Sus scrofa: one gene and its partner. The protein of the gene in region 2 purifies or fractionates together with the protein of the main gene of each other region. This does not show direct contact. Links are inferred from orthologs where the notes say so. Each region holds a gene or a part of one and is shown on either strand. Other genes may lie near its edges.

What was found.
Region 1: the proteins of DNAJA1 (region 2) and ENDOG purify together in Homo sapiens (affinity purification with mass spectrometry; 3 studies listed by BioGRID and IntAct, counting the BioPlex papers as one, with this or other methods). This does not show direct contact. The link is inferred for Sus scrofa from reciprocal best matches to the Homo sapiens genes DNAJA1 and ENDOG.

Annotation. Positions count from the first base shown.
Region 1 is NC_010443.5:269,148,218-269,164,875, forward strand, and holds ENDOG (endonuclease G, mitochondrial), read left to right. Parts: upstream 1-5,737; 5' UTR 5,738-5,926; coding exon 5,927-6,433; intron 6,434-7,608; coding exon 7,609-7,718; intron 7,719-8,955; exon of another isoform or gene 8,956-9,224; coding exon 9,225-9,507; 3' UTR 9,508-9,572; downstream 9,573-16,658. Other genes in the region: TBC1D13 (TBC1 domain family member 13), read left to right, coding at 358-518, 673-730, 1,600-1,665; SPOUT1 (putative methyltransferase C9orf114 homolog), read right to left, coding at 10,627-10,906, 11,072-11,174, 11,630-11,728, 11,831-11,903, 14,310-14,440, 14,651-14,700, 14,813-14,902, 15,124-15,283. UniProt on the Homo sapiens protein: Endonuclease that preferentially catalyzes the cleavage of double-stranded 5-hydroxymethylcytosine (5hmC)-modified DNA.
Region 2 is NC_010452.4:33,430,860-33,446,989, forward strand, and holds DNAJA1 (dnaJ homolog subfamily A member 1), read right to left. Parts: upstream 14,215-16,130; 5' UTR 14,048-14,214; intron 13,512-14,047; 5' UTR 13,502-13,511; coding exon 13,370-13,501; intron 13,213-13,369; coding exon 13,035-13,212; intron 11,218-13,034; coding exon 11,113-11,217; intron 10,414-11,112; coding exon 10,186-10,413; intron 6,302-10,185; coding exon 6,187-6,301; intron 4,761-6,186; coding exon 4,645-4,760; intron 4,235-4,644; coding exon 4,134-4,234; intron 3,218-4,133; coding exon 2,999-3,217; 3' UTR 1,670-2,998; downstream 1-1,669.

The DNA of each region.
Region 1 (16,658 bases), on a different chromosome or scaffold from region 2:
CATTGCCGCAGCTGCAGTGCAGGTTGCAGGGGTGGCTCACATTCAGTCCCTGGCCTGGGCACATCCATATGCTGCAGGTGCAGCCATAAAAATGAAAAGAATTAAAAGTTTGGTTTTCTGGCTTTGCTCGGAACATCAGACGCTCTGGTCATTGCCTTGCAGCCCCTCCCCCTGAGCCAGGCTCCCCGTGCCATCTGCGGCGCGGTGTGCCTGGCGCTCACACCTGGCCTCGCCATGTCCTCTGTTGGGTCCCGGGCCTGCGGCTTATCTGAATTCACGTCTGATAGGCGGCGTGGTGTTCCGTGGCACCCAGCCAACGGGGGTTCTCGTGCCCCGCCCGCACCTCTGTCTCCCCAGCAAGAGCAGAACATCAAGCCCCAGTTCTTCGCCTTCCGCTGGCTGACACTGCTGCTGTCCCAGGAGTTCTTGCTGCCTGACGTCATCCGGATCTGGGACTCGCTCTTCGCCGACGACAACCGCTTCGACTTCCTCCTCCTGGTCTGCTGCGCCATGCTCATGTGAGTGTCGCCGTGAGCAGGGGTGGGCGTGCGGGCGGGGGGCTGCAGTGAGCCCCTGGGATTCTCAGGCGAGCAGCACACCAAACTGGCTTTGGGTGGTGCGGGAGGAGCGGGAAGGGGCCCCAGGGGCCCAGCACTCTTGTGTTTTTCTTAGACTGATCCGGGAGCAGTTGCTGGAAGGGGACTTTACCGTGAACATGCGGCTCCTGCAGGTAACGGAGTTTGGAGGGACTGGCTCAGTCTTAGGCTGTGAGACAGACCCTTAGCAGGCAACCCCCATCCCCACCCCTGCCCCCGTCCTCGTCCCCATGCCAGCGCTGTGAAAGGATCAGGGCTGTGTAGCAGATCCTAGGTGTCCGGACCCCTGAGCCAGATCTGGGTTTGGGTCTGGGTTGGATCCCGCTTTGCCACTGACCTTGAGTGTGGTGCGGCCTTGGGTGAATGACTCGGTTGCCCTGAACTGCGTGGTCTGGATGAGTAGGGCACACCTGGCACGAGCCTTATCCCGGGACGTGGTGATGAGGCTTGCTGGGGACCGTGTGCAGACCTGGTCGTAGTTGTTCAAGAGTCAGACAGCTTTGGGTTCACATCTTTGTCCTCCTGTGCCAGTCATGTAACCTGAGCCAAGTGGCAGCCTCTCTAGGCCTTGATCTCTTTGCCACCCCCAGGCTTGGGGTTGGTTTCCAGTAACTTCGTTGACTCAATCTGTAAAACGGGCCGATCCACAGTAACCCCTCATTGGGCTATTGTGACCCAGGGCACGGATGGTGTTCAGCCCTGTTCCAGGCTCGGTGTGAGTGCAGCTCAGGGGTCAGTGGCAGGAGGTGGGGATTGGTGCTAGGGAAGGGGCTCGGAGGTCTTTTGGGCGGTGATGGGTTGGGTTGGTTAAGTTAGGGCTGTGGGGGCAGCAGTGGCTTCAAGCAGGGTTTGGTCAGACGTGGTGCCTGGTGTGCTGTGGTCCCTTCCCCTGAGACCCCCTGGTCCAGCATGGTGGCAGGTCCCCTGGGGAGCCCCGTGGGTGGCAGAGGTGGTGCAGGGTGAACTGACTGGAGGGCCTGCTGTTGGCCTCTCCCCTGCCCAGGACTACCCCATCACAGACGTCTGCCAGATCCTACAGAAAGCCAAGGAGCTCCAAGACTCACAGTAGCCCTGCGGCAAGAGGCCTGAGTTTGGGAGAGAAGCCGCCACTGACGCCGCCACCACCACCACCACCTATGTCCTGACTCCTGGGACGCACAGGAGCCTATGGGGTCCCAGCTGGAGGGGCTGCTGCAGGATAGGCCTGCTACAGGCCTTGCACCCTGGCTGCGCCCACTGGGGCACACTGTGCCACACCCCTTACCAACCGCTGAGCCCGGCCCTGGCCTGCTTCCACCGGGACCCTTTGCCCAGGCTGCTGAGCAAGGCAGGAGCTCGTGACATTGTTGCCTGGGGCTGGGGCAGACCGGGGGCCCTGGGGCTGGTGAGGGTCCCTCCCGGCCTCTGCCCTGCTGCTCCCCTCCTCCTCTCCTGCTCTGTCCCCTGGGATCTGGTTGGGGAGGTGCTTGGCCAACGAGCCAGAAGCCACCTCTTCTGGAGGCTGGTGCTTGGGCTTCTCTACGGGGAAGGTGACACTGTGAAGGAGCTAAGAGTCTGCCAGACCCAGTCACACCCTCTGTCCCATTCCCACTGAGTGTGTGTGTGTGTGTGTGTCTTAATTCCCCAGGCGTCTGCTTCTCCTTGGTCCGTGCGTCTGTGTGTCCAGAGGCAGGTGAATCCCTCTAGGTCTCCTTGTCTGTCTCCTCACCTCTCCACCTCTGCCTCTATCCCTCTACCTCCTCCACAGAGGGTGTGTGTGGCTCTCGCTCTGTCTGCCCTTCTCTCTTGGGGTGCCTTATCCCCGCCTCTTCTCTCTTCTCCTCCCAACACCCATGAACCCTGGAGACAGAATGAAGAGTCTGGCTCAGCAGAGCTTCTGGAGGTCAACCTTGGCCTTTGCAGCTTGTTCCCATCCCCCAGCTCTCCACTCCCAGTGCCTCCCCACCACAAAATTCTTGGAAACCCAAAGCTCTGAGAATTGGCCAGTGAAGCTGCCCGGTGAGGCGGGGTGGAGCTAGCTGAGTCTCCCAGAGGTTCCCCCAAAGGCCCATCTCTCCCAAAGGAAAAGGACATTAATGCGATCCTGTGCTGGGGCTTGGGATCCAGGTGCTTCTGAGGCAAAGGTATTCATTCCTATGGCTACTGGGTCTGGGCCCAGGGCAAGTGAGCCCCGTACAGGGCAAGTGGGACCAGAGGGAGCCTCTCTGGGCCAGGCGGAGCTGAGCTCGATGGCTGGGTGCCATCAGGGCCGGGAGAGCCACGTCTCCCCCAGGCAGGGGAGCTGAAGGAGGTGCTGGCCCTCATGTGGTCACGTGCTTGGGCTGCTCCAGGATCTGGGGCAGGTGTGTCCTGGATAGGAGCAGCTGGCAGTTCCCACTGCTGGGCTGTGGGAAGGGTTGGCTTGTTCCAACCTAGTACCCTCCTCGTTTAAGGAGGCAGGTGGTTTGTGCCTGGAAGGCTGGGTCATGTAGCATGGGGCCTCTTCATCTCAGACTGGCCAGCAGGGGCCCCCAGCCACCCCCCCCCCATGCCTTCCTGAGTCATGGCCAGGATTTGTGGATGGTGGCCAGGAACAGCTTCCCCAGGCAGCTCCTGTCCAAACTGTCTCTTGGATGCTTGTAGGACTTCATGCACTTGCCTTTATGCCTTCTCCTCTTCCAACAAGGTATTTGAGAGATTTTTGCTATTTATTCAGATTCCTAGTTATTTATTGCGATTGGCAAGTGCTCGATTTGATGAAGGGTGGGGCTGGAAGGGTAGAAACAAGTTGGGGTCAGGGTCTTCCACTCTTCCCGCCTCTGGGACCTGCCTGATTTTCCAGGAGGTCCTGGCTGGGAGGACTCTGTGAGAGGACTAGGTGTGAGGGAGACAACAGCTGGGATCCTTGCCAGAGCCCAAGACCCCGGCTCGGGGCAGAGACACGGCTGCCCAGCAGCCTGGCTCACCCTTTTCCCAGAACTTGTTGCTGGTGGTTCAGCCCCAACTTGATCCCTTCACAGCCTGGGGCCCAGCAGACACTGCCCAGGACACCTGATGCATTCCCTCTTGCCCGTCCCTCTGCCTTCCCTCCCGGGGCCCTACTACTTGAATCACTGCATCTAATTTGTCTAAGCGGCAGGACCTGGGTCCCCTGCCCTGTCTTTGATCTTGTGATGAAGGTCAGAAGAGCACAGGGACCATGTCCAGTTTAGGCTGAGCTCCCCAGTGGGATACTGCCCAAGGGAAAAAACTGCCCTTGGCAATTCCCCCTCCCTAGACTCAAGGGAGGTCCCCAGAGAGCCAGAGACCCCCGGGCTTCCTGCTCGGGAAGCTGCCCCCAGGACTTTGGATACTTACAGAATGGCTGTTTGAGTTCAGCTGGTCTCACTCCAAGGGTTAGAATGTTAGTCTGCTTTTGTTTTTTCATTTGTTTTGTTCTTTGAATCAGTGCTGTTGATGACAAGTTGTCTTTAATAAATCATGTGTTCTTTGCAGTGGGCGTTGGTTCTGGGATGGGCTGGAAACCTTTGAGACCTTGGAGCTGGAAAAAACAGTTGAGCAGGGATGACGTCAAGAGGCTTTCAGAGGAGTTCCCATCGTGGCACAGGGGAAACAAATCCGACTAGGAACCATGAGGTTGCGGGTTCAATCCCTGGCCTCGCTCAGTGGGTTAAGGATCCAGCATTGCCGTGAGCTGTGGTGTAGGTTGCAGACGCGGCTCAGATCTGGCGTTGCTGTGGCAGTGGCGCAGGTCAGCGGCAACAGCTCTGACTAGACCCCTAGCCTGGGAACCTCCACATGTCATGGGTGTGGCCCTAAAAAGACAAACAAAAACAAAAAAAGCCTTTAGAGTAGGCAGAAGAAAAGGCTAGGAAATTTTTGTTGGAAGAGCATGAGCCACTCTTCTTTAATAACTGCAGTTTGTAGCTGGGGGAGAGGAGGCTGTACTGGGGCAGAAGGTGTTATGTTGTGATCGTAGCAAGTTACTTATCTGTTAATTTGCCGAAACCTTCGGCATGCGGAAGTTCCTGGGCCAGGGGTTGAACCTGCACTACAGCAGCAATCAAGTCTTTGATAACCCGTAGTCTGGAGAAAATCACTGATAACATGTTAGTCTTCTTCCCAGAGGTAGATTTTTGTGTGTAATTGTCACCTTCCTCATTTTCTTGTGTATTGTCTCACCCCTCAGGTTAGGTGCTGAGCAAGTTGCTGTATGATTTTAAAATATTTTAATGCACTATATACTATTTTAATATGCTAAAAATGTCTGAAACCAGTTCCTATGTCTGACTATTTTGCTTATTCCCCAGCCTCTATTATGAGTAGTACTGTGGGGAGTGTTCATGTTTGAAATCATTGCATTCGAGGTTTATTCCCCCAGCTCAGTCCTCTAAGTGAGTTAGAAGGTATGAACCTTTTTACGGTTTTCATGCAGACTGCCAAGCTGCCTTCCGGAATCCAGCCAGCAGTTTGTAATACCACCTGCATGCATCGCGGTCCTCACGCTGGGTGTTAAAATCTTTGCTGGAGTTCCCGTCGTGGCGCAGCGGTTAACGAATCCGACTAGGAACCATGAGGTTGCGGGTTCGATCCCTGCCCCTGCTCAGTGGGTTAACGATCCGGCGTTGCCGTGAGCTGTGGTGTAGGTTGCAGACGCGGCTCGGATCCCGCGTTGCTGTGGCTCCGGCGTAGGCCAGCGGCTACAGCTCCGATTAGACCCCTAGCCTGGGAACGTCCATATGCCAAGGAAGTGGCCCAAGAAAAATAGCAAAAAGACAAAAAAAAAAAAAAAAAAAAAAATCTTTGCTAATCTCCTAGAAATTTTTTGCCTTATCTTACGATGTAATGGTTAGGAGCATAGACTCCAGTGTCGTTCAGACCTGGAGTCTTGTCCTTGTTCTCCCTCGGCGCTCTTGATTAAATCGAGTCATAATACAGGCAGTGTAGACTAGTGCTTGACAGGTCTCTGGAGCTCTTGAAGTAGGACCTCGGCACTGACGCAGAAGAGGTGGGGCGGGGCGGAGCCAGCCCTGGAGCGGCCAGTCACGAGTCGAAGCGGCGATGCCACGCCCTCTCAGGGCTCCCTCTTAAAAGGGCAAAAGGCACGGGGAGGTCCCGTAGGGCCGCTCCAGACCCCCACTGTTGGAGTCCTTTGCACTTTGGGGCGGGCTTTGAGTGGGCGGGGCCTACGTTCCGCCGTCCAGTGCCTCCACCCGGCGCAGTCCCCGCGGTGGGCCCCGAAGGCCTGCGCGGCTCCTTTAAGAACTCGCGGGTCTGACGCCGGAGGTCGCGGCGTTCTTTCGGAGCTGCGGGCCGAGTGCCCTCCACAGCTCAGGCCAGAATCCACGGCCATGAAGTTACTGCGGGCGGGTTTAACCCTAGCGCTGGGCGCCGGGCTGGGTGCAGCCGCCGAGGGCTGGCGGCGGCAGCGGTGGGACGCACGGGAGGCGCCCGGTTTGCTAAGCCGGCTCCCCGTGCTGCCCGTGGCGGCGGCGGCCGGGCTTCCCGCCGTGCCCGGGGCCCCGGCGGGCGGCGGGCCCGGCGAGCTCGCCAAGTACGGGCTGCCTGGGGTAGCGCAGCTGAAGAGCCGCGAGTCTTATGTGCTGTGTTACGACCCGCGCACCCGCGGCGCCGTGTGGGTGGTCGAGCAGCTGCGGCCCGAGCGGCTCCGAGGCGACGGCGACCGCCGCTCTTGTGACTTCCATGAGGACGACTCAGTGCATGCGTACCACCGCGCCACCAACGCCGACTACCGCGGCAGCGGCTTCGACCGCGGCCACCTCGCCGCCGCCGCCAACCACCGCTGGAGCCAGAGGGCCATGGACGACACCTTCTACCTAAGCAACGTCGCGCCCCAGGTAGCGCCTGGGCCCCTCGCCCCTGCGGCGGAAGGCGAGGCCACCCACTGCGCGCCTTCGAGCCTCAGGCTCTCTGCAAAGCGGGAAAGCTGCCGAGGGTGCGCCTAGGTCAGGCGCCTGGCGAGTCACACCGCGCCGCAGGCGGGAGGGACCGAGGGATGGGGCGCTGAGCATCCACTCTGCACTCTGATCTTAACCCCCGGGGGCCTCCCAGATCTTCAGTTTCCTTGTCTGTAAAATGGGGATAAAACGGTTACTCACCTACCCCTTGCAGTAGCGCTGAGGAACTGAAAACACCATTCAGGTACAGAAAAGTACTGAGCACGCTTCCTGGCCCATGGCAAGCGGTCAGTACCAGCTATCATGAGGAAAGCGAGTCTCAGACACCGAGTGACCGGCCCAGTGTCACATGAGGGAGGAGACCCAGGCAGTCTGTCTAGAGGAACCTGAGCTTTCATCCATTGTCCTATCTGCCTTCCTTCCAGGAGTGACAGCAAAGATCCCTGCAGGCACTGGGTGTTCGTAACAGTCACTGTGCACCCTGGACTAGCTGCCCACCTCTAGCCGTGTTCCCATCCTGGCCTGACACGCATGTGAGGACGGATGTCAGGCTCTGATGAAGCTGTAGGGTCAGCTGTAGCCTCTGACCTGACTTGTGACCTCTCAGGAGCACTGTGCCCTCCCGGTTTGATTAGACACTGTCTGAGGACCAGAGGGTTCAGGTTCTGGAGCAGACTCATGACCTTCCCGGCTGGGCTCTGCCTGTGGATCAGTTGAGGGAAAAGGCAAGGAGAGGTGCCCAGAGAGCTGGTCTTCCCATGAGGCCCTGGGGGCGGGGCCGGCCTATTTCTGGAAGATCTGCCCCTTTCCTTCATATGGCTCTTTGGAGCCAAGAGACATTTGTGAGTCCTGGGATGCTTGTTCGGCCCTTCTAGATGGGGTTATGCTGGCAACCCCTCGAGCTCTACCTGGGCTCCACCCTCATGACCATGTGGCCCAGGTGTCTTTCCATCCATGAATCTGTTTCCTCTGCTTGTCCTCACCTCTCCCCTGCCCCCCCCACCCTGGAATCTTCTGGCTTGGTGCCAATGCCCCACCCTCAGGGCCTGGAGCAGCCCTCTGACAGCCTTGCAAGTGTCCCGGCCAGTCTCACTGAGGCCCACCTCTCCTGCCAGGTGCCACACCTCAACCAGAATGCCTGGAACAACCTGGAAAAGTACAGCCGCAGCCTGACCCGCACCTATCAAAATGTCTATGTCTGCACAGGGCCGCTCTTCCTGCCCAGGTAAGGTTAGACCTGGGGACACCAGCACTGCCCACTCATCCCTTCCTGATGCCCCCAGGCTTTTTATCCACACCACCAGGTCTCGTGGAGTTCCCGCTGTGGCACAGTGAGTTAGGACTGACTGCAGTGGCTTGGGTTGCTGTGGAGGCACAGGTTCAATCCCCAGCCCAGTGCAGGGGGTTAAAGGATCTGTGTTGGGAGTTCCCATTGTCACTCAGCAGGTTCCAAACCGACTAGTATCCATGAAGATGTGGGTTCAATTCCTGGCCTCACTCAGTGGGTTAAGGATCTGGTGTGGCTGTGGCATAGGCCGGCAGCTACAGCTACAAGTTGACCCCTAGCCTGGGAACCTCCATAGGCTGCAGGTGCAGCCCTAAAGAAATCATTTGGCTTCTCAGCATGTCTGCCCCTCCCTGCCTCAGGCCCTCCCAGTTGTACTCCAAGGTCGGAGGCCAAACCCACCTACCCACCTAGACCCCGTGTCCTCTGCCCCTGGGCACCAGGCCCCAAATCTGCCCCTGCTCCTTTCTGGGTCTTCAGTGGTCCCATCCACTCAACTGTGTCCTGCCCAGACTGAAACCCTTGCGAGAGGCGCTCACCTTCACTCTCCTCTGCTTGGAGCAACCCCCCCCCCGCCCCTCGCTTCCCCTGGAGCCCGGCTTTGAACTCCATGTCCCTAACCCTTGTCCCCCCACAGCCCAGCCTCCCCCAGGTAGAAGGGACCAAGCTCCTCTGGGCTCGCTCGGTGACTTTTCTGGCCTGCTGAGGGCTTGGGACCAGTGAGGCGAGAGGTTGTGGCCAAGCAGCTGGCTGTGCCTGGGATGGACTCTGGGCCCTGCCACCTGGTCTCTGGGTGCCCTGGACAGGTGACCTCCACCTTCTCTCCTGTAAGATGGGGATAATGCCTGCTACCTACATAGCAGGTGTTTAAGGGACAAAGTGGGTGTCACCCACTTTAAGGGAGGGAGGATGCCACCTCAGGAAGGCTCACCGTGGGCTTGCTGAGGCGGTGGCTGGGGCACAGATCCTCTTTAATGAGCCAGGGCCTCCCCTGGTCCATGGTCATGGAGCAGACTCTGGGGAGGGTCAGCCTGAAGTTGCCCATCCCACATTCCGGGCACCTGTCATGCCCCAGGCCTCTGCTGGTGCCAGGGATTCAGCCGTCACAGCTCTGCTCCCTTGGCGCTCACTCGCCACCAGAAGAGACGGTCAATCATCAGGTGTCCACACGGATGAATGTGGATGTTTCTTTCTGCAGTGTTTATTGTCACCACACACTCTGGCTGACCCAGTGCTGGGTGTGAGGGAAGCAGGAGAAGAAGCACGTCTACCCAGCAGGAAGCACCCAGCCTCCTGGGGGAGCCAAGCCCGGGGCCAAGAAGCCTCACTCTGTAGGGGCGGTCCTGCAGGTCCAGTCAGGGAAGGCTTCCTGGAGGTGGAGGCCCTTGGTCAGACCAAGCTCCCTGGGAGCGCTGAAAGGCCATGTATGTCTGGGTCTGCCCACAGGACAGAGGCTGACGGGAAGTCCTATGTGAAGTACCAGGTCATTGGCAAGAACCACGTGGCGGTGCCCACCCACTTCTTCAAGGTGCTGATCCTGGAGGCAGCAGGCGGGCAGATCGAACTCCGCTCCTATGTGATGCCCAACGCGCCCGTGGATGAGGCCATCCCGCTGGAGCGCTTCCTGGTGCCCATCGAGAGCATCGAGCGGGCCTCGGGGCTGCTCTTTGTGCCGAATATCCTGGCCCGGACGAGCAGCCTTAAGGCCATCACTGCCGGCAGCAAATAAGGGCCGCCCCAGCCAGACTGTGGGGTCCTGGGGACCAGGTTGAATGAAAGGTATTTATTTTTGGAGACAAGTCTTAGCTGTGTCTGTTCCGGGTGACCTGTGGGACCCTCTGGCTCCACTGCTGCTCCCTGGCCATCCTGGGCCCGACAGAACCTTCAGCTGGGCCGGGCACCTGCCTGGGTGAGGCCAGGCTGCAGGGCGGCCAGGGAGATGAGGATGGCTTCCTGGAAGAGAAGTGCAGCAACAGGCTGGCGCCTGGGAGGCTCCCGGGTGTCCCGGCTCCCAGGCCCCAGCCCCTTGGGGCGTGGGGCCCTCAGTGGGGCCTGGCTTTGTCTGGCAGATCTGTTGCTGGCCACTGCAGGCCCTGCCAGGAAAGGGCCTCACCTCTCTGCTCCTCAGTCTCCTCATCTGTAAAATGGGGCTGATCATCACAATACCTTCCCCCCTGGGGTCTGGAGACGGGGGAGGCAACGGGCAGGAGGACCCTCTGTGTAGCTGTCAAGGGGGGGAGCAGGGCTTCCTGCTGGGGGGCTGTGGCTGACAAGCTCAGGGCACCTGGCCCAGCAGGGCTCTTGGGGACAAGTAGACGGAGGCTGTCTCCCTGATGAGTCTCCAACCTTTGAGCCCAGTGGAAGCCAGGGCACCTTGCCCTAGTAGGTGCCACAAGCACAGCATTCTGTGCTGTCCTCAGAAGTTGGGGCCCAGGTTGAAGGCTCTCAGAGCTGGTCCCCTCTTGTCCCCATTGCGACAGAGGTGCCAGTGAGGGTCTGTGAGGAGGGCTGCCCTGGAGGTGGAACACTAAGGAGACAGCCGAGGAAACGAGCCTGGAGCGGGGCTGGGCGGGGTCTCCGGGGTCAGCCAGCCTGGGAGCAGCTGGATGGGTAGCAGCGCCCAGGATTCTTGACTCCTAGCTCACTTGTTTTTTTTTTTTTTTTCCGGCTGCACCCATGGCTTGCAGAAGTTCCCAAGCCAGGGATGGAACCCATGCCACAGTAGCAACCAGAGCCACAAAAATGACAACACCAAGTTCTTAACCCGCTAAGCCACCAGGGAACTCCCTGCTGCAGTTCTGCTGTGGTGAGAGGCCCCGTGGGTGAGACCACTCCCAAGAAGGCTGGCTCAGGGCGGCCGTGGGTGGGGTGGGGACAAGGAGAGTGGTGCAACCCCCCCATGGACAGAACCCGAGGCTCCGGCCCCTTGCTGGTGGCTGAACAGGCTGGGCCTGGAGGCCAGGGAGGCAGGAGGGCTCACCTCTGTGCGGATGGTGCGGCTGCCCTGGCTGGGGCAGGTGTTGACATACAGGTCGAACAGGACACTGGGTTCAGCCACCTCCAGGTTGGGGTCAGCGTCCACTGCCGCTTCCAGCCCCTGGAGGCCCCCAAACACCACGAGAGCGTGCCTGGCACCCACAGGAGGCAGATCAGTGACCGCCCACCAAGGCCCACTGAATGCAGCCCCCCAGAGCGCTCAGGCCCCCCATACGCACCAGGGGCCCAGACTGTATGGCTTGGCCCCCACCTGTCTGGTCCCCCTGCTCCATTCCTCTTCCCCTGGCTGGACCCACCTGAAGTTGGGAAGCTGGGCGGAGGCCACATCCGAGCCTCGCTCTGATGTCCCAATGGTCAGGTCATAGCCGTCCTGGAAGGGGGCCTCAGCAAACACAGCACCTGCAGGGAGGCCAGCTCACTGGGGGCCTCGTTCCCCACAAGCCGCTTGGCTGTGTGTACTGGGGTGGGGGGGATGCCGAGGGGAGGGGAGATAAGCGAGCCACACCCAGGCCCAGACCCTTCACTCCTGGGAAGCCAGGGATTAAGCAGGCAGAGACCAAGCCTGGGCTGGCCTGGGACAACAGAGCAGTAGACATTTAACTTGTCTGGTCCTTTGGTCCCCATTCCCAGCCCCATGGCAGACACTATTAAAGATGCTTCTCAGACGTCCCTCAAAGCATGCCAGGCAGTGCACTCAGGGAGACCAGGGACCAGAGAAGGAATGGCACTTGTCCAAGGACACACAGCACGACAGTAGGATTAGGACTCTGGGCTGACTTCTGGGGCAAGCAAGGCTGTCTGTGGCCTCACAGCCAGAGAGGATGTATATGCATAGGAGGAAGCTCAATCCTTACTGAGGCAGGAGGCCAGGCGGACGGTGTAGCCCCAGTAGAGACCAGCTTTGGTGCGGGGGTCCTGCGACGACACAACTTTTCCACGGTAGGTCTTGCTCTCTGGGGGGGAAAGCAGAGAGGCTCTGAAGACAGGACAAGGAGACAGGGAAGGAGGAGGCTCCCAGTTTGCAGGCTGGCTGGCCCGGGGACACGTTCAGATACCTGGAAGCTGCTTCTGGTTCAGCCACACTGTCACCCGAAGTCCAGGCTCCAAGTTCTTGTCGATTTTCACTTCCTGGGGAGAAGCCAGAAGAAATTGGTGCTGTTCCCTGCAGGACAGCAGTGGTCGCTGCTCCCCAGATATGGGGGCACTGAAGGGGGTCCAGGTCAACCTTCACGCCCTACTCCCTGGCCCCTGGGCCAGACTTGCTCACAAGAGACCATTCTTATTCTATTTTTTTTTTTTTTTTTTTTTTGCTCTTTAGGGCCCCACTCGAAGCACATGGAGGTTCCCAGGCATCTAATCAGAGCTACAGCTGCCGGCCTACACCACAACCACAGCAACGCGGGATCCAAGCCACGTCTGCAACCTACACCACAGCTCACGGCAATGCCGGATCCTTAACCCACTGTGCGAGGCCAGGGATCGAACCCACAACCTCATGGTTCCTAGTTGGATTTGTTTCCACTGTGCCATGACGGGAACTCCCATTCTTATTCTTTTTTTGGATGCTCTGTGGCATGGGGAGTTTCTGGGCCAATGGTCAGATCATTCAAGCTGCAGTTACAACCTATGCTGCAGCTGTGGCAACACCTGATCCTTTAACTCACGGTGCTGGGCTGGGGATCGAACCTGTGCGCTAGTGCTCCGATCTTGTTATGCCACAGCCAGAATCCACAAGAGACCATTTTTGCAAAAGGAATACCCCCAAGATATTAGTCAAAATGAACGGCCCAGGGAGTTCCCTGGTGGCATAGTGGGTTAAGGATCTGGTGTTGTCACTGCAGTAGCTCAGGTGGCTGCTCTGGCATGGGTTCTATCCCTGGCCTGGGGACTTCACATGCTATAGGCTCGGTCAAAATAATAGTAATAATTTAACAATAAAAAAATGACTGGTCCAGGCCTGGCACAGAGTAGGAGATATTTCATACATGGATGAAATCCTAGTTTCCTACATTTTGGTGGCTGTGCCATTTACTAGCTTTAGGAGTCTGAGCCGTCACTGAACCCCTCTGAGACTTAGTTTCCTAATCTGTCAAACAGAAGACTTCCCATAAACAATAGCTATCATTACAGTGCACGGGACCTGGCGTGAAATACATGCTGCATACATGGGGCCGTGATGGACCACTGCTGTTTGCGTTTTGTCCCCATTTTGCATTCAGGACGGGGCACGTTCTTTCCCTTTGGAGGGTTACTCATGCGTTCCCCCTTTTATCTGGGTCCAGATTATCCTGGTCTGCGTTTATATCAAGTCTGTTCTTTTGGAGGAGGCGGGGGGACCAGCACACGTTTAAATGTTTCTGCCTCTGACTCTAGGAGACTTGAGATTAAATAGGTGGCAAATGAATGCTCCAGTTCCCAGCTCGGCATCATGATGAAGCAGCCCCAGAGGGTTTTTTTTTTTTTTTGGTCTTCTTGCTATTTCTTGGGCCGCTCCCGCAGCATATGGAGGTTCCCAGGCTAGGGGTCAAATCGGAGCTGTAGTCTCCGGCCTACGCCAGAGCCACAGCAACACGGGATCCGAGCCGCGTCTGCGACCTACACCACAGCTCACGGCAACGCCGGATCATTAACCCACTGAGCAAGGGCAGGGACCGAACCCGCAACCTCATGGTTCCTTGTTGGATTCGTTAACCACTGAGCCACGACGGGAACTCCACCAGAGGGGTTTTGAACTTGATTTTGCAGGGAGTTGTTTGAGTTTTGTTTTTCGCATAAGGACTATCTTCTGGGGATAACACTTTTTTTTTTTTTTTTGTCTTTTTGCCATTTCTTGGGCCGCTTGCACGGCATATGGAGGTTCCCAGGCTAGGAATTGAATCAGAGCTGCAGCTGCCAGCCTATGCCACAGCCACAGCAACACGGGGATCTGAGCCACATCTGCAACCGACACCACAGCTCACGGCAATGCCGGATCCCTAACCCACTGAGCAAGACCAGGGATCGAACCCGCAACTTCATGGTTCCTTGTTGGATTTGTTAACCACTGAGCCACAACGGGAACTCCAGGGGGGATAACACTTTTTAAAAGCAGTCAATTTCGGAGTTCCCGTTGTGGCTCAGTGGTTAACGAACCTGACTAGTATCCATGAGGACATGGGTTCAATCCCTGGCCATGTTCAGTGGGTTAAGGATCCGGCGTTGCCATGAGCTGTGGTGTAGGTCACAGATGCGGCTCGGATCCCGTGTTGCTGTGGCTATGATGTAGACCAGCGGCTTCAGCTCTGATTGGACTCCTAGCCTGGGAACTTCCGTATGCTATGGGTATGGCCCTAAAAAGACACGCACACACACAAAAACCCAAAGAGTAAATTTCACTCCTGGCTCTATTCATTGAGCTCCATCTTGGCACTTCTCTGGCCCAAATCTGCATCACTGAGGGACCGGCAGGCAGAGACGCCTGAGTCCAGGGCTCCCCACCCACTGTAGCCAGGGCGTGTCTGGGAAGTAGGTCTCGACCCATGCTCCGGTTCCTACCTTCTTCATGCCACAGTTGACAAAGGAGCCCTGGCCCGGCCGTGTGGGCCGGTCCACCACGACACCCTCTCGGAACTCGGAGTCCTCGTCCTGACGCATGTGGTGAGGGCTGTCCAAGGGGTTCAGGAGCCCTGTGTTTGAGGAGGAGCCGGGAGGCGTCTGGGAGGTGCAAAGGCACATGGGAAGGCCTGGTCCAAGTTCCAGCTCTGCCCACAGACCTGCTTGGCACCAGGCACAGCCTCATCCTGCCTGGGCCTGCTTTCCCAGCTGTCCCATGATTTCTCAGGGTCTAGGGGATGACCCCTGAGAAATGGGGGTCACCCCCCCACCCCCAGACTTACCTGCAAACTGTAGATCCTGATGCTTGGGGAAGAATGCCTTTCTTAGGTACCTAGGAGAGGACGCAGATCTCAGGAAGTTCCCAGGGAGGCCACCTCCCATCTGCCCTGCCCCTCGGCCGCCCCTCCCTCGTGCTCTGGGAAGTCTGTGCTCCATCCTCTTACTGTGGACACTCCAGGTACTGCAGGATCCGGGCCAGCTGCACGCATGCCTGCCCCTTCTTGCCAACTCCCCTGAACTCCCCCTCCACAGTCCTGGAGAGAGAGCATGAGACAGGGCTCAAGCCGGGGTTCCCTTCAAGGTCTCCTCCCTCCCGCCTGACCTCTGCAGTGACCATGGCCAGGGGGGACGGTGGGGCCACCGCAGACAGGAGTCTCAGCCCGGGCAAGTAGGCAGGGAGAAGGGTGAAGCCCAGCCAACCCGGCGGCCCATCCCTTTTCTCTGAGCCCTGCTGCCCTCCTGGACGGCCCCTCACTTGGCATCTTGGCCCTCTTCATCGAACACCACGATCTCATCCACACAGAAGATGGCACAGGCTCTGGCAATCTGGCCAGCCAGGTAGGTGCGAAGCTCGGGCGACTGGGCGTTGTCCAGGATGGAGCCCGGCAAGGCCACGCTCAGGGTGTAGTGCCGCCCTGCGCAGGAGAGGGGCGGTCAAGGTCAGCCGGATGGGCCGGGACCATCTCTCCCCTCTCTCCCATCCCAGCCTCTAATCCCAGGGCCCAGAGTTAGAGGAATGTTCCCACCCGGAGGAATTCTGAGATGAGCACAAAGATTCAACTCCTTCTCCGGTCCTCAGTCTCCCCAGGAAGAAACTGGACGCGGTGATCTCCAGGGCTCCCATGAGCAGGGCATCCCACGGGGCGGGTGGGGGTGGGGGTGAGGCTCAGAGGTACTGACCTAGTCACAGCCGCGGCCCCTGAGTGCTTCAGTTCTCCAGGCATTAAAAAGGGCTAATGATGAGAGTGCCTTTTATTTTATTTATTTTATTTTTTTGGTCTTTTTGCCTTTTCTAGGGCCGCTCCCGTGGCATATGGAGGTTCCCAGGCTAGGGGTTGAATCGGAGCTGCAGCCGCCAGCCTACACCAGGGGCACAGCAATGCCAGATCTGAGCCATGTCCGCGACCTACACCACAGCTCACGGCAACGCCAGATCCTTAACCCACTGAGCGAGGCCAGGGATCGAACCTGCAACCTCATGGTTCCTAGTCAGATTCGTTAACCACTGAGCCACAACGGGAACTCCGAGAGTGCCTTTTATGTATGCACATTTAACCAGTAGCCCTAGGAAGTAGGTGGTACCTTGATCCCCACTGAGAGGTGGGGAATCTGCAGCCCAGAGAGGTCAAATACCTGCCCGCAAAAGGCAGGACTGGCTTCAGAGCAACCACCACGCTTTTCCTCCCAGAAGGGTCCAAAGGGAGCCTGCATGTGATAACACCCATAAAGGGCTTCCCAGTGTCTGAGACAGCTGACAAGCTCCGTCTCTGTCCCCACGGTCACCATCATCACTGGTAACCACATGACCCACTAGACCCTTGGGTCTGGTGAAGGAAAAAAAGATACGACTTGTTAAGGTAGATCCAGACGCACAGACACGGAAGGACCGCCAGCACAGAGTGAAGTGGGATGAGGAAGACCAGGTCCAAGTGTGCTGTCGTGGAAACAAATCTGATGAGCATCCACGAGGACGCAGGTTTGATCTCTGGCCTCGCTCAGCGGGCTAAGGATCTGGCATTGCTGTGAGCTGTGCTGTAGGTTGCAGACACACCTCGGCTCTGGCATGGCTGTGGCTGTGGTGTAGGCCGGCAGCTACAACTCCGATTCGACCCCTAGCCTGGGAACCTCCATATGCCACGGGTGCAGCCCCAAAAAGACCAAAAAAAAAAAAGAAAAACAAAAAGAAAAAGAAAAACCAGGTCCACAAGTGCATGGATAAAGCAGTCGCATTCTTAAAAAACTGTCTCTCCCTCTCTCCATGTGTGTAAGTGGGTGATAACATAACAACTG
Region 2 (16,130 bases):
AGCCCTCAGGGCATTTTCATCATTTATAAGGTGGGTGTTTTAATGCTTGTTCTATCAATCTCAGCAGGCTATTGAGATAACCAAATAAAGTGATAAAGGTAAAAGACTTCAGAAACCCTTGAAAGAGCATCTTTATTGCTGTAACTTGCTAACATTTTCCATTCACTGTGCTCAGTAGAGCCTATGCTTCATTTTCCCACATTATTTCAAAACAGGAAATTACCACGTCAAAGCTGGGAGGCTTCCTGAGCCTGAAACTTGCAATAGCAAGGGCTGCCATTATTGTTCTGGGTGATTAATACACCCATGGTGGTAGTATAGAACCTTGGCTCTATGTATCCTGTTACCTAGGCTACACCCAGCTCAATTACATCAAAATCCCCCAGAGGATGAGATTCAAATCATGGTTTTTTTTTTTTTTTTTTTTTTGTCTTTTTGTCCTTTTAGGGTCACACCTGTGGCATATGAAGGGTCCCAGGTTGAATCCAAGCTGTAGCCGCCAGCCTACACCACAGCCACAGTATTGCCAAATCCGAGCCGCCTCTGTGACCTACATACACCACAGCTCACGGGAATGCTGGATCCTTAACCCACTGAGCGAGGCCAGGGATCCAACCTGCAACCTCATGGTTCCTAGTCGGATTTGTTTCTGCCGCACCACGACAGAAACTCCATCTTCTAGTGATTTACATTTTAAGGATTTTTCCCCCCTGTGGTGAAACAAAAGTAAATCTCTCATCCATTTTTAAGTGTACAGTTCAGTTGCATTAACTATATTGTGTAACCACTATGTTTTAAAAACTTTTGCTCACCTGAGGTAATTAAGCATGCAGTAACTTTCTGTTCCTCTTTCCCCTGGCCCTTCAAATATCTGCCTCCTGGAGTTCCTGTTGTGGCTTGGCTGTAAACAAGTCTGATCAGTATCCATGAGGCCGTAGGTTTGTTCCCTGGCCTCACTGTCAAGGATCCGGTGTTGCCATGACCTGAGGTGTATGTTGCAGAGGTGGCTCAGATCTGCTGTGGCTGTGGTATATAGACCTGCTGCTCTGATTTGACCCCTAACTTGGGAACCTCCATAGCCCCAGGTGTGGTCCTAAAATACCTAAAAAACAAATATCTGCCTCCATGAATTTGTCTAGATATTTCATGAAAGTCCTTTCCTATCACATTTTATCCATCTGTTAGACACATAGGTTGTTTCTTCTTCGGCTGCTGTGAATTATGAAATAACATTGGCACACAGTTCTCTTGAGTCAAGGAATGGAATTACTGGGTCATATGGTGAATTCATGTTTGGCTTTTGAGGAGCTGCCCAATATCTGTGATTCACTGTATTTCCCTTCTGACAATACTGGAAGCATCATGTTAGAGATTTTTGTAATTTTTAAAATGCCTTAGAACATTTATAAATATAGGTTTATTGATTTTTTTTTTTTTGGCTAATATATATGCAGTGAAAACTAAGCCATTATTTTCAGTATTTTGATTGGTTTTCTTTACTGAACACCTGCTTTTTTATCCAAATATAAGGGTAGCTGGCCACTAAAAAAAGACAATCCCCCAATAATAGGAGGTGAGGCTGTCAATTAAGAATATCACTATGACAAGAATCCCGAACGTTTTGGGAAATACTTTATACCAAGTTTCAGTCTTTTTTTTTTTTTTTTTTCCCTCCAACTCAAGTGTTCTAAGTTGTGGGTTACTTCCAAGTTAGAAATGTTTAAGCCTCCTGATATGGGAGATAACAGAACCAGAGCAGAATTAATAAGCAGAAAGCCCTCATATTCTCACTTGCAGTGTTAAGATACTTAAGCCCCTCCACTTTCGCTCCTCACCCTTGCTTAATATAAACATTAACTACGGTTATATAGTGTTTTTGTATTACTCATTTTAACTAGTTAAATGAATAATCTTAATTAGTACAAAAGCAATGCTTTAACCTGGGGGAAAAAAAAGGCCTGTGGTGACACATTGGACATGCTTTATAATCAGTGTATTAAGGAAACAGTCATACATTTCAAGAATTGCTTAAATTCTGATATCCAGATTTAAGCTTGTGAACATGACTTTAAACATACAGTTAATTAAAGCTATTCATCATAATTTGCTATACTACCAACATTAAATTACAGTTACTTTGGAGCGTAAGTTAAATGGTTTAAAGTAAGCCTATAACATGCCTGCAAAACACCTTCCTATCCTGATACATGCAAATTACTTCTCCATGTTAAGGTCTCACCACTAACTTCTAAATTATCCTGCTCCAGAGAAGTCACTACTCTAATGCTTACCGTGCTCCAAAGAGGGAAAAAAAATGTTTAATCAGGACCAATAGTTATATTTAAAAAAAGATGGCACAGCAAAAGGGAATGCAATTCTACAAGTGCAAAGCCCTCAAGCAGCATGTTAATGATAAACCCCTTCTTTAGAAAGGTATCATTTCTATCACTATCACCAGAGGCTAAATTAAATTATATATATAGCATGCCATCTTCAAGTAACAGTTGAGGCAATAGAATAATAAATGCAGAAGCATCACAATGAATCCCAACTGAATACAACTATACAGACCAACACTTCTACAAATTAAGTTCTTTGCCTGATTGCCAGTTAAATACAGTTTTAACTTCATAGCTTAACAATTAAGGGTCATACACTGAAGTCAATACATACACACCTGGCATTTCAGTCTAAGCTATTCCATGTACATAGCTGAAATCAATTACAAGGTATGGCCTAACAAATGGTAGGGGAATTGTTTTTTTTAAAGTAGTTTTTTACAGGTATTAAACTTTTCTTGCACACTGAAGTCACCATACATACAGGGCAAAGTCAGAGCTTTTATATTTGAGTTTATTCTTCATTTAACTTTTAAAACACTACTATAGTTGAATATTAAAACAATACCAAGTAGTGAGCATATTATGATTATAGTCCTTCACTCAATCACTACTGCAGCAAATAAAATGCCAGCAGTAAGCGTTATTCACTGGCCCCATTAAGAGGTCTGACACTGAACACCACCCCGAGGATGATGTTCATCATCCTCATATGCTTCTCCATTGTAATGGCGTCGTCTCTCCTGATTTGGATCAAAGTCCACTAGTTCTACCTGGTCCATTTCATCAGTCTCTTCTACTTCCTTCCTCTCAGGTAGGAGTTTTTCCAGCAAAGAGAGTTTATCAGGGGAGAGAAAACCATTCTCAGGAAAGTTCACCTGTAAGGAAAAAACTCCCACTGTAAGTTCAATTGATTTACTTCATCCTTAGCTCCTTAGACAAATTACCACTGACCCATTTTCCCCCTCCCTCAAACACATGTAACCACATAGTATTCTGGTAAACCTGCCAATCCCAGGTTAGAATACACATTCTATAAAGGCATATATCACCTAGTACTCTGAAATCAAGTTCAAGGCATACATGAAGTCTTAAAAAAAAAAAAAAAACCCTAGTAAGACTGCACTATAATAATCACTGTTCTATGCAGCAAGTACTTTATTTTTCTTTTTGCTTTTTCTAGGGCTGCTCCCGTGGCATATGGAGGTTCCCAAGCTAGGGGTTGAATCAGAGCTACAGCTGCTAGCCTACACCACAGCCAAAGCAACTCAGGATCTGAGCCGCATCTGCAACCTACACCACAGCTCACAGCAACACCAGATAACCCACTGACAAGGCCAGGGATCGAACCCGCAACCTCATGGTTCCTAGTCGGATTCGTTAACCACTGAGCCACAACGGGAACTCCCAAAGATGTTTTTAATAAATGTTAATAAACGTTAAATGGTTCTGAGGGCACAAAATTTTAGATTGAGGGAATGGCTTTAAGAACCATTCTATTAATAGCATTACAGTATTTTGACAAAAATTTGAATTCTATTTCCTTTCATTAGTAAAATACCCACCACTTGCCACACACCCCCCCTTCCTCTGCCAGTCTTTCAATAGCCAATAATGAGGCCAACAAACCCAATTCCAACTTTTTAACAAAGAATGCTCAAAAGGACATAAGTACTGTTAGATCTGGGAAAAGAATATACATTTTATGATTCTGATCATTCAGAAACTGTAACTGCTAACAAATTTTAATAAACTAGTCATTCTCAAACATTCCTAGAGTACTTTATAGCTTACCTTAAATTCAATAATTAGGCGACCCTTTTCATATGGTCTACGATAAATTGGCATGCCTTCATTTAGCACACACTTGATATCTCCATGCTTGACAATCTGACCTAAAAACAATGAAACCAAATACCTCAAATATAGTCACACTTTTTTTGGGCTGCCCTGATACATACGGAGTTTACCAGGCCAGGGATCAGCTCCAAGCCACAGTTGTGACCTGTGCATCCGGCACAGAGACACCACTGATCCTGCTTGCAGCATAGTCATGCTCCTAGTCACACTTTTATGACGCAGAGAAAATAAACAGAAATGTCCTAGCTCACTGACAAGTAAATTTATGGGAAACAATCCTGATACCTTTTGTTTTTGGATCTTCTAGGGGCTTCCAAGACAGCCAAGAATGCATGATTTCAGCTCAAGGATGCCTATGTACTCAGCAGCTTTTCTATGCCTATATAGTTACCAGCAGACTATGAAAACACTAGAATAGAAAGACAAGCTTATCTAGTTACCATACCTGGATGAGAAGTGATGACTATGGTTCGGTTGTCAAGAGTAGATATCGGCTTTTGGAAGCCACACAATGCCTCAACCAGCTGTATGTCCATACACATAAAAAGGTCTTCTCCTCGTCTGTACAATATAAATATGGCATATACTTATATCTTTCAAATCGCTAATGATTACAAGCACCAAAGCAAGAAACTGTTTTAAGATGCCCTTTCTTTCTGATTCTTGAAACAGAGCTGAGAACTGGGAACAGCAAATACATAGAACCTGCCAGCACTGTGTCCTCAACAAGGCTTCAGATCCCCATCCCTTCCCCGCACAGTCTAGGTGGAGAAACACACCGAAGGCTGGATTCCAGATAATTTAGAGTCTGAATTAAATTATGGGGATATGGCCAATTTCATAGGACAATGAGAATTTCTTTGTTGATATACATGAATTAGGGAATACAGTGCCTGGCACATTATGAACACAATCTTTTATATTTGATAACAGCCCACTGCCTCCTCATGCTTGCTTTCTTTTCCCATTCATACTAGTAATTTTTTTCATCAAGCAGAATACTTTCCAGAAATAATCTTGAGGATTCACCTCAAATGACAGAATCAAAATCCTAAGCTTGATGGCATTTTCCATGATTGTTCCATAATTCAAAACCTGTTCCTTACATGTCATTCCCAACAGACTTACTGGAACCCAATTCCAGATGTTTTTAAAATTAGCCATGGATTTATTATTTAACACATTCACTGTTAACCAATCTTCCTTGTGCTTCACTATAAGTTCATAAACAAAATTAAGTATTTCACATAACAGACCTGAATTAACTTTTTTATACAGAATATTTTAAACATTTTTTTTAAATATAAAAAAAGAAACCCAGGATTGAAGAAAGTGAAACTCAGGATTTAAGAAATTGGTGAAAGCTTTAGGGCACTTACTTCAAAACTAACTGCTTAATACAAATATTGGTGACAGCTTTATCTAGGGGATGTTTCCCCAATCCACCTGTTTATACTCATATAAAACATCTCCTGGGAGTTCCCATTGTGGCTCAGTGGTAATAAATCCAACTAGGACCCATTGAGGATGTGAGTTCAATTCCTGGCCTTGCTCAGTAGGTTAAGGATCTGGCACTGCTCTGAGCTGAGACAGAGATCGCAGACATGGCTCAGATCCCATGTGATGTAGGCTGGCAGCTGCGGCTCTGATTCTGCTCCTAGCATGGGAACTTACATATGCCACAGGTGCAGCCCTAAAAAGAAAAAAATAACTCCTAATTGATCCTTCAAAATCCAGATTAGGCAACAATTAACCCAAATTTAGACCAAAAAAACTTAAAATCTGACTCTCTGTTAAGACAAACATAAATGATTAACAATCTTTTGGAGAGGACAACACTACATAGACTAACTCTCCTTCTATACTTTCCTAGGGTAGTTCCAAGAAATGGTTCTAAAAGTAGTGAAAAGCTCATTTAAATAAGAAAAATGAAGGAACCCCTCTCACCCCCCAAGTATCACTTTGAGTATTTGATAAAAGTTTTTACCGAGTAAAAACGGCATGGTCCTTCTGATCTAAAACAATGATAATGTCTCCTGGCTCCAGTCCTGGTTCTTGGTCTCCCTCACCATGGAATGTTATCTTCTGGCCATCTTTCATGCCTAAAAACAAAAAGCTAATTTTACACTCTTAACATCCAAGGTCAGAATCTCCATCTACAAGAAATACAGATGCATGTTTGTGTGTACATGAAGAAATTGTTCAAGTCCATATGGATGCTAAAGTTTTGGAGAATTTACCAAAAATACCCCCAGTCCTACTTCTTACTGAAGAAAACTCTCATAGTGGAGAACACAAATTCTAGAGGCAAACAAGCAAATCAGGCTTCAAATCTCAGAGCTATTTACCAGTAGGCTGGATTACCCTGGGGAAGCAAGTTGCTTAACTTCCTAAGCATCAACTTTCCCACAGAGACCTACCTACCTCTCCATTAGAGCTCTTGTGAGGACTAAAAAAAGAGGTCTACACTGTCACCAAATCAGTGGTAAACATCATAACCATAAATGTTTCAATTATTTCATCACTTTAAAAAAACTTAGTCAAATTATTTCTATCAAGTCTACAGAAGCCTAAGTCAGACTCCCCCCCCTTACTGTATTAGCAATGTTTACATATAGGAAAGCAATATATAAAACTTAAAAAAATTAAAAGTCCATAATTGTTTTGTTAAATGATTTTTAGTCTTTTCTTAAAGAAAGGATAATTATGGCTTAACACTTTCAGACCATGTGGTTAGGGTCAAAATTACAGAGAAATGTTGGAGTTCCCTTTGTGGCTCAGCAGAAACGAATCTGACTAGTACCCATGAGGACCATGAAGACGAGGGTTCCAGCCCTGGCCTCGCTCAGTAGGTTAAGGATCTGGTATTGCCATTTCTGTGGTGTAGGCCAGCAGCTATTGCTCTGATTAGATCCCTAGCCTGGGAACCTCCATATACAGCAGGTGGGGCCCTAAAAAGGAAAAAAAAAAAAATTACGGAGAAATGTGGAATTCCCACTGTGACACAGTGGGTTAAGGATCTGGCATCCTCTGCAAGTGGCTCAGGTCACTGCTGAGGCATGGGTTTGATTCCTGGCCCAGTGGAGTGGGCAAAGGATCTGGTGTTGCTGTAGTGAGGTGCAGCTCTGACTCAGGTTCAATCCCTTGCCCAGGGAACTTTCATATACTGTGGGTGTGGCCAAAAGAAAAAAAGAGAAAAACCCCAGCAAAATTTTTCCAATAGGGCAAACATTTCTTAAACACCAATGTGTTTACTGAGATTACCTCTGGCTCATGTATCTTAGTTCACTAAGGATTCACTTAAGCTAACACCTCTTTAAACAGAACTCATGTTTGCAAGTCATTAGACTGCAGCAGTAGCTCCAGGATTCCTGAACCATTGAGCACTGAAATCACCCAACAAAAGCAACTTTGTTTTACTATTACAGGAAGTACTGAACTTATATAAAATAGTCAAAAGTACAAAGAATTCCTAAATATTCATCAATATACATCTAGTAATTATCAGCTCTTGACTAGTATTTCATGTTACATATACCTCCACCCACATTCCATGTATTTCGAGTCCAGACAGGCCAATTACCCCAAATACTTCAGTATATACCTCTAAAAAGATAGACTTAAACCAAAATACCAGTATTATGCACTGATGAAACTAAACAATCTATCTTTAATCACAAAGTAACTGTGTCTCACTATACTAGTGAAGCAATTGAACTCAACCAGTTTTGCTGGTTGTTCCATTAACATAAAGAGCACAGGCTAGTGCAGCGTTCATAAATGGCTTCACTTACTACTACTGCCTCCTGAATACATACTTTTGGTAGCAAGAAGGGAACTTTACTGGACAGGGAAAAATTCAAATCCTACTAAACATGGGCCAATTAAGGGGAGAAAAATGGAGGAAGGAGTTCCCTGGTGACCTAGCGGTTAAGGACTCCATGTTGTCACTGCTATGACTTGGGAATCCACATGCCCTAGGCATGGCTGAAATTAAAAAACATGGGGAGGGAAGTACCGTGATTCACATGGGGAGAAAACTATTGCAGAGACTTAAAGTAGATGTGTATACTGATAAGATGTTCATAAGTACAGTTCCATGTGAGTATGTACAATGTATTATTACTTTTATTTTTGTGTGGTTTTTAATTTTTCTGCTTTTTTTTTTCCTAGGGCTGCACCTGTGGCATGTGGGAGTTCACAGACCAGGGGTCAAATTGGAGCTGCAGCTGCAGCTATGGGCCTATACCACAGCCACAGCAATGCCAGATCCGAGCTGGGTCTCCAACCTACACCACAGCTCACAGAAACGCCAGACCTTAACCCACTAAGCAAGGCCAGGGATTGAACCTGTGTCTTCATGGATACTAGTCCAGTTTGTTACCCCGGAGCTACCACAGAAACTCTGTATGTTTCACTTTAAAATAACAAAGTCTCTGGGAGTTCCTGTTGTGGATCGATGGTTAACAAACATGACTATGACTAGGATCCGTAAGGATGTGGGTTCGATCCCTGGCTTTGCTTAGTAAGTCAAGGATCCAGCATTGCTGTGAGATGTGGTGTAGGTCACAGATGTGGCTCAGATTCTGTGTTGCTGTGGCTGAGGTGTAGGCTGGCAGCTGTAGCTCCAATTCGACCTGTAGCTTGAGAACTTCCATATATGCCGTGGGTGTGGCCCTGAAAATATAAAACACAAATAAATAAATAAATAAATAAAATAAAAATAAATAAAAAATAGCAAAGTCTGGAGTTCCTGTCATGGCTCAGTGGTTAACAAACCCAACTAGCATCCATGAGGATGCAGGTCTGATCCCTGGCCTTGATCACTGGGTTAAGATCTGGTGTTGCCACGAGCTGTGGTATAGGTCACAGAGGCAGCTCGGATTCTACATTGCTGTGGCTGTAGTATAGGCCAACAGCTGTAGCTCTGATTAGCCCCCTAGCCTGGGTCCCTCCATATGCCATGGGTACAGCCTAAAACCAAAAAAATAATAATAATAATGAAAAAATTTAAAAATATAAAAAAATAATATAGCAAAGTCTGGAGTTCCCACTGTGGCTCAGTGGTAACTAACCCAACTAGTACCCATGAGGATGCACATTAATTCCCTGGCCCCGCTTAATGGGTTAAGGATCTGGTGTTCTGGTGAGCTGCAGGAAAAGTCCCAGATGCAGCTTGCCACTGGCATGGCTGTGGTGTAGACTGTAAGCTGCAGCTTCAATTTGACTCCTGGCCTGGGAACTTCCGTATGCCACAGGTAAAGGCCCCCGAACCAATGAATAAAATAGCAAAGTCCGAATGAGCTAATCATGTTGATTTTTTTCAGAGTAGCATAATGTATTCTGGGGTTATACACATTTTAAGAATTTCTACAATGAGGAGTTTCCATTGTGGTGCAGTGGAAATGAATGTGACTAGGAACCATGAGGTTCCGGGTTTGATCCTGGCCTTGCTGGGTTAAGATCTGGCGTTGCTGTGAGCTGTGGTGTAGGTCACAGACACAGCTCAGATCCTGCGTTGCTGTGGCTGTGCTGTAGCTCCGATTTGACCCCTAGCCTGGGAACTGCCATATACCTCGGGTGCAGCCCTGAAAAGCAAAAAAAAAAAAAAAAAAAAAAGAGAGAGAGAGAGAGAAACTACAATGGAAAATAGACACTGATCTAATACATTTTAAAATATTTTTTACTAAATTAAAATTTAAAAATTGGCAAAATAAAATATCCTAATATTGAAAAGAAACTCTTAAGTTATATCCTGGAACCCAAAAGGCAGAAACTGATAACTTGTGTTTAACTTGTAAAAACCATTAGAAAGTAGTAATTATAACCTAAGTCCTCACAAATAAGTTAATAAATCAAAGTATATCACCTGTTCCTGACCCTATCAGCTCCCAAGGAACGAACCCCTATTAGGAAATAAAATATAATGCTAATAAATTTGACATAACACTCAAGAATTTAAAATAAGAAGTGGCTCACAACTCACCTTTGTCAATATGAACTTCTAGAATTTTCTTTTCTCGAACTATCTTCCTCCCATTGCAACTTTTACATCTATCTTTAGGACTGATCCGCTCCCCATGGCCCTGGCACTCCATGCACACAGACTGAATTTGCTGAACCATTCCAGGTCCTATTTGATGAATTCTTATTTGCATTCCAGTACCTCGGCAATTGGGACAGCATTCTACTGCTCCTTTCTTACCACCTCGGCCTAAATAGTTTAAAAAGAAATTGTTTATATTTAGTATCCAACACAGTGATGAATGTTTTAATGAGACAGTATCTAAACACTCTGCTTTGTTAATACTTTTAAGGTCTAATGGAATGCTGCCTTAAGAATCTACAATTCAGCCTTTTTATTTGATACAACATAGTCCCAAATGAGCTTCGGTTACCTATAGACATCTTGACTGCTATTTTCCCAAGGAACCATTTCAGAATTTTTAATTTTAAACATGTGCTTCCAAAGCACAATTCTTAAAGACTACTTTAACTGCGAGAACATTTTAAGACTTTATTCTCTTTAGAAAATCTATTTCAAACAAGTAACTTGTATTTACTTGAAAAAAGCTTAGAGGTTCAGAGCCAATAATTTGACAGCTCTGGACTTAAAAAGAGGACACTTTAAAATCATATGAAGCCACTGCAATGCCTCTGAAGTTCTAGAGAAGAAAGGAAGTACTCATCTCTGAACAATGTTGAGAAAAAGGGACACCAAATTAGATCCCACCTGTGTTCAAAATATACACATAAAAGTGTGATATTTTGCAAATATTTCTCTAGGAGGTAGGTTCGGGTGGTTTTCAGACTTGCATTCTCCAAGATCTAGGTAGTGCAGTATTTGTCAGTTTTTATATATCCAGAAAAGCTTTGGTCCCATTTCAGTTCTATTACAAGCATTAAGACATACCTTCACATTTGTCACAAATCACATTCTTCTGCAGAGCTAGTTTTCTTGTTGCACCATTATATAAATCTTCTAAAGTTACTGAGAGTTGATGCACAACATTTTTACCTAGAACAAAATATTACTCATTAAAAATCTAAGATACTGCATCTTTTTTTTTAATGCAATCAAAAACATTAACTATGAGTTCCTGTTGTGGCTCAGTGGAAAAGAATCTGACTAGTTTCCATGAGGATGTGAGTTCAATCCTGGCCTCGCTCAGTGGGATAAGGATCCTATGCTGCCTAGAGCTGTGGTGTAGGCTGCAATTGAGGCTCAGATCTGGCATGGCTGTGGCCAGCAGTGCAGGTCTAAATCAACCCCTAGCCTGGCAACTTCCATATGCCTCGGAGTGTGGCCCCAAAAAGCAGAAACAAAAAAAGGTCACTGATAAGCTTGATAAATCCTTAAAAAAAAAAAAAGTTAACTGCAAAATCAACTGAGAAAACCAATGTTACTTAAAACACAATTATTTGCCAATAAATCACCCCAACTGCTCTTCTGTCCCAACACATTCTATGACTCCTTCACTTACTATGGTATTTAGTGAAATTACATCATCCAAAAAGTCTTCACACACTAAGTTCCAAAAACTCATCAAGTTCAGCCAGGAAAGCTGATGTATTTATCCTGTCTCCATATAGGAGTATCGATCCAGAAATGCGCATTTACTGCTGAGCCAGCACTAACTGTTTAAAGGCTAGATTTCTCATTCTTTACCATAGTGCAGTCCAATAAAACTTTCTGCAGTGACGGAGATGTTTTATATCTTGTGCTATACAACAGTAGCCAGAAATCACACATGGTTGTAGAGCATATAAATATGGCTACTGCAGACTAAATAACTGAATTTTTATTTTTAAGATAATCTAAATTTGATGCAGCCAGTGGCTACAAAGGAGTGACATATCTCATCTAGGAATGAGAACTAGAAGATGGCGATCATATAAGGACAGAGGCTACAGAATGTACCTGCCAATGGTTAATAAGTTTCTAACTAGTGATTCTTCCTTCCACAAGGACTTTATCCACCATGAAATACTGCCTTACGTCTAAGTGGGAGAAATTCTCAAACTATCTGATCGACATGAAAAGTAAAGTACCATTACCTTCCTCTTCTAGACCCACCTTTGGCTTCTGTATCACAAATATAATTCTATGTGATTAATTCAGGCATGGTAACAGCTGCCCTTAATTCAGCTTTGTATGTTTCAGAATATAAGAAATAAAGCTTCTAAAATTTAAGGAAAACTTTCGAATTATCACACTTAAAAAATAACCTTTCATTGATCTAATACACACAAAGAAGAGTTTGCCAATCAATTGATTTTGACTGGAAATTGTTTTAAGGTAAGTTTCTTAATATGGCACGTATTTTAGTACAATACAACTGAAGGTAGATTAAACAGAGACCAAGCTTTTTGAAGGCAATGAACCTGTGTTCCAATCCAGACTCTGATGCTGGCTATATGTGACCCTGACAAATATTTAGGATTCTGAACTGTAACTCCCTTCGACTGGGTGTTATTCACTTTTGACTACATCCACTATTGGGGTTGAGGAGTAGGTGTGTAAGTTCTGAAAATCAAAACATATAAAAAGGGTTTTGAAAATTTTATGCTCCTGTAACTTTATTCATTTAATGCTTGACAACTTCAACAAAGTCCTATGTATCTGAAGAGCTTTAGAAACACTCATTTGTTAGCACCCTATTGGCTATTTTTAGTTTCATCCAAACTCATTTTAAAAAACTATCATAAAATGTTTACAGTCAGCTTGCAACATTACACTAACATGTGAACAAGCATTTAATAATATGTGAATTCTCAAGAATTCGCTTTAACCAAATTGGCTAATTTGCTATATGTGGACTAAGTCATTCTTACCTCTCCTTTCTCTCTGCATCCTTCCTCCTCCTCCAAAAAACATATCAAAGATATCCATGGGGGAGCCAAAACCACCACCTGCTCCACCTTCTTTAATTGCCTGTTCTCCTCCTTTATCATATAATTCCCTTTTCTTTGCATCAGAGAGCACTTCGTAAGCTTGAGAAATCTGTTTAAACTGTGTGAGAAAAAAGGGGATAAATTTCACCAAAAAAACTCAACTGTCACAAAGCACAGCCACTGTATTAGACATACTCAATTTCATGTTGTAATGGAAATACCATACACCTGGCAAGAACTACCCAGTTATGTTAAAGTGTGAGTATGGTACTCGCCTTCTCTCCTTCATTTGGATTCTTATCAGGGTGGTACTTCAAGGCCAGTTTCCTGTAAGCCTTTTTCAATTCTTCTTGGGTGGCATTGGGTTTGACCCCCAAAACATCATAGTAAGTGGTTTCTTTCACCATTTTCTACAGCCTGAAATAAAAAAGTTCAATTTTAACTACTTTCAACTGGTAGTTTTAATTAGTAAAAATCAAGAGTTTAGGCAAAGAAATTTGTTCTTTGCCAAATCTGATCATAAGAACATCACCTTCCCTAAATTTCACAGAGACGGTAACAAGTCCTTTGATAATTCAGCCATTAAATTCTAACAGACTAAATATAAGCTAATAATTATCAGGGAATAATTAAGAAACCTCCCATACTACTTTGTTCCCACTTTCCACCTGAAAACCTCCATCTCGATTCTTCCTGTCTCCCCTCCCCATTAATGACAGGGCAGTAAAGACAAGACGCACTAATAGGTTCAGTCCACTGTCATTATCATCTTTGGTAAATCTGATAAACCATACACTTCCTAGAAAAGACGTCTGGGCACAAGGCGGGGAGGAAGCTCCAGAAAGCAAGCTCCCCTCCCCCTCAATCCTGAGACTGTTTCTCAATCACAGGACCTACAGCTTCTCTGCTTTGAACGCCGAACCCCTCTTGCCCCACAAGCCAGCATAGCTTACATGTTCTTAGGTTTCCCCCTGCACTTAGCGCCGAGCGTTGGGCTTCCTTCCTTTCTTCCTCCGACTCAGGAGCGAAGGGGTGGGAGAAGCCCAACCCTCAACAAAGAGAAGGAGGGGAGACCGGAGATGCGAAAACCGCAGCCTCCGCCAAGCTCCTCCCGCAGCCCCTCGCCCCTGGCTCCTCCTGCGCGTGCGCGCAGAATCGCCCCCACCCCCACCCCACCCCCAGCGAGGGCGGGCGGAGGGAAACCCGGAGGCGGCAGATCCTTGGAGACCCCCGGCTAGATAGGCGAGGGGAAAGCTTCTGGAACGGTATCGGGCCCAGCCGTTGCGCACCAGCAAGGGCTGCCGGGACACCCCCATCAATTCTACAGAAAGGGAATCGAGGATACAGGAACCGACAGCCCCGCAGCCCACGCGGAGCCAACCGCCACTTGACCGCGGCTCCATCCCAGTTCCCGGAGCCGCTAATGGCGCAGGCCTGGGGACCAGAGGAAGCGTGAAAGCAGAAACTCACCGGTGAGCGGGCCGAGGCCGATGTGGGGGAGCGGGAAGGAGCGCGTTTCTGTGCGCAGCTCGGGCAGCCGCCGCTCCTCCGCCTCTCACCGAGCGTTCTGGAAAGTTCCGCCCGGCGCGCCGCAACCGTCGTCTTTTGTAGCCGAGTCGCGGCGCGTCACCCGCCGGAAGTCCCACCCCCTCCGGCTGCTGCCACCGCCCCGCGGTTACCTGGGCAACGGCGCGGGGGTGCTCGGAGTGGGAGGGACTCAGCTGAAGGGCCTTGTGGGGGTGGGCTCAAGACTGGGTTCCTGCAGCTCGTAGAACTTTCTGGATCCCCTTCCTCCACCCAGCGGGCCCTAAAGTCTGGAAGTCTTGGGCGGGAACAGGGATTTGCCCAGTAGCGCTGCGATTCCGTTCCGGGCCAACTCAGGATTCACAATCAGGAGAGCCGCCGCCACCGCCGCTTGCTAGAGCTCGGAGAGCTGGGGAACAGGGACGCTGGCCGGGGCGGTGTGCGGTACAGGAATCTCTCAGAACAAAGCCTTGCCGCACCTGCTCTCCGCCGGCGCGTTTGACACCGCTTTTGGCGTCTCTAACCGGTTTAGTTTCTTAGACCTGAGGTTCTGGGAAGCCATGGAGCATGAACTTCTGATCAAGACGGTTGTGGGCTCCTGAACAGTCTCAGGCCTTGGATCTTGCTTTTTTTAACGCGCTGTCCAAAGCCTCGTAATTCACTGAACTGCGAAGTTGGAAGAACCCTCCGTGCAAGTTTTGGCCCCTGTACACACGATATATACTTTGGGCCTTGTAATACGTTGTGCTCAGGCAGCTCTAAACAGGGAAACGTTTGGAATACTTTGGTGCAAACCCAGGGCCTTGGAACCTCTCAGGCCAGGCATTCACCTGGTTTGGCTAGCCTAGGCACAGTAACACCAAGAGTGGCAAACTTTTTTTTTTTAAATAAATGTTATTAGAGTTGACTTATAAACATGTTTCAGGTGTCATCAGTTCACTTGAAATCAGTATATCAGTTATACATATAGCCATTCCTCATCAGATTCTTTTCCTACATAGATTATTACACGGATGGTTTTAATTATTGGACCTAACAATTAAGTTCTACCAGTCTGTGAGTCTGAATCTGTAGTTTGCAAAATGAGTCCTTGGGGCTTTCAGATGTTGAGCCTGGGGCATAATGGCAAATGTGGTCTGTTTTCTTTATTTAATAACAAAACATTGGAGTATCTAGCATCGGAGAAGATGTAAAGTTGAATAAGCTCTGTACACATTTTAGTAGGGAGACGAGAAGTGAACTAACTATAAGGGAAGTGGAAGATAGAGTTCAGCGAGGAAAGATCTTGTATGTTCACTTGATGGAACAGAGAAAGCTCCTTTGGGAAAGTGGCAGTTGAGCTGAGTTTTGAAAGAAGAGGAGTATTCCCAGAAAAGGACAAAGTGCAAGGGAACCTAAGGTTAAGGTGTGAAAGAATATGATGCTTTTAGGAAATTGCAGTTATTTGACTATAGCCAGAGCTAAGAGCTGGAGTGACAGGAGGTGAGGCCTCAGAGGTAGTTGGAGAGCACC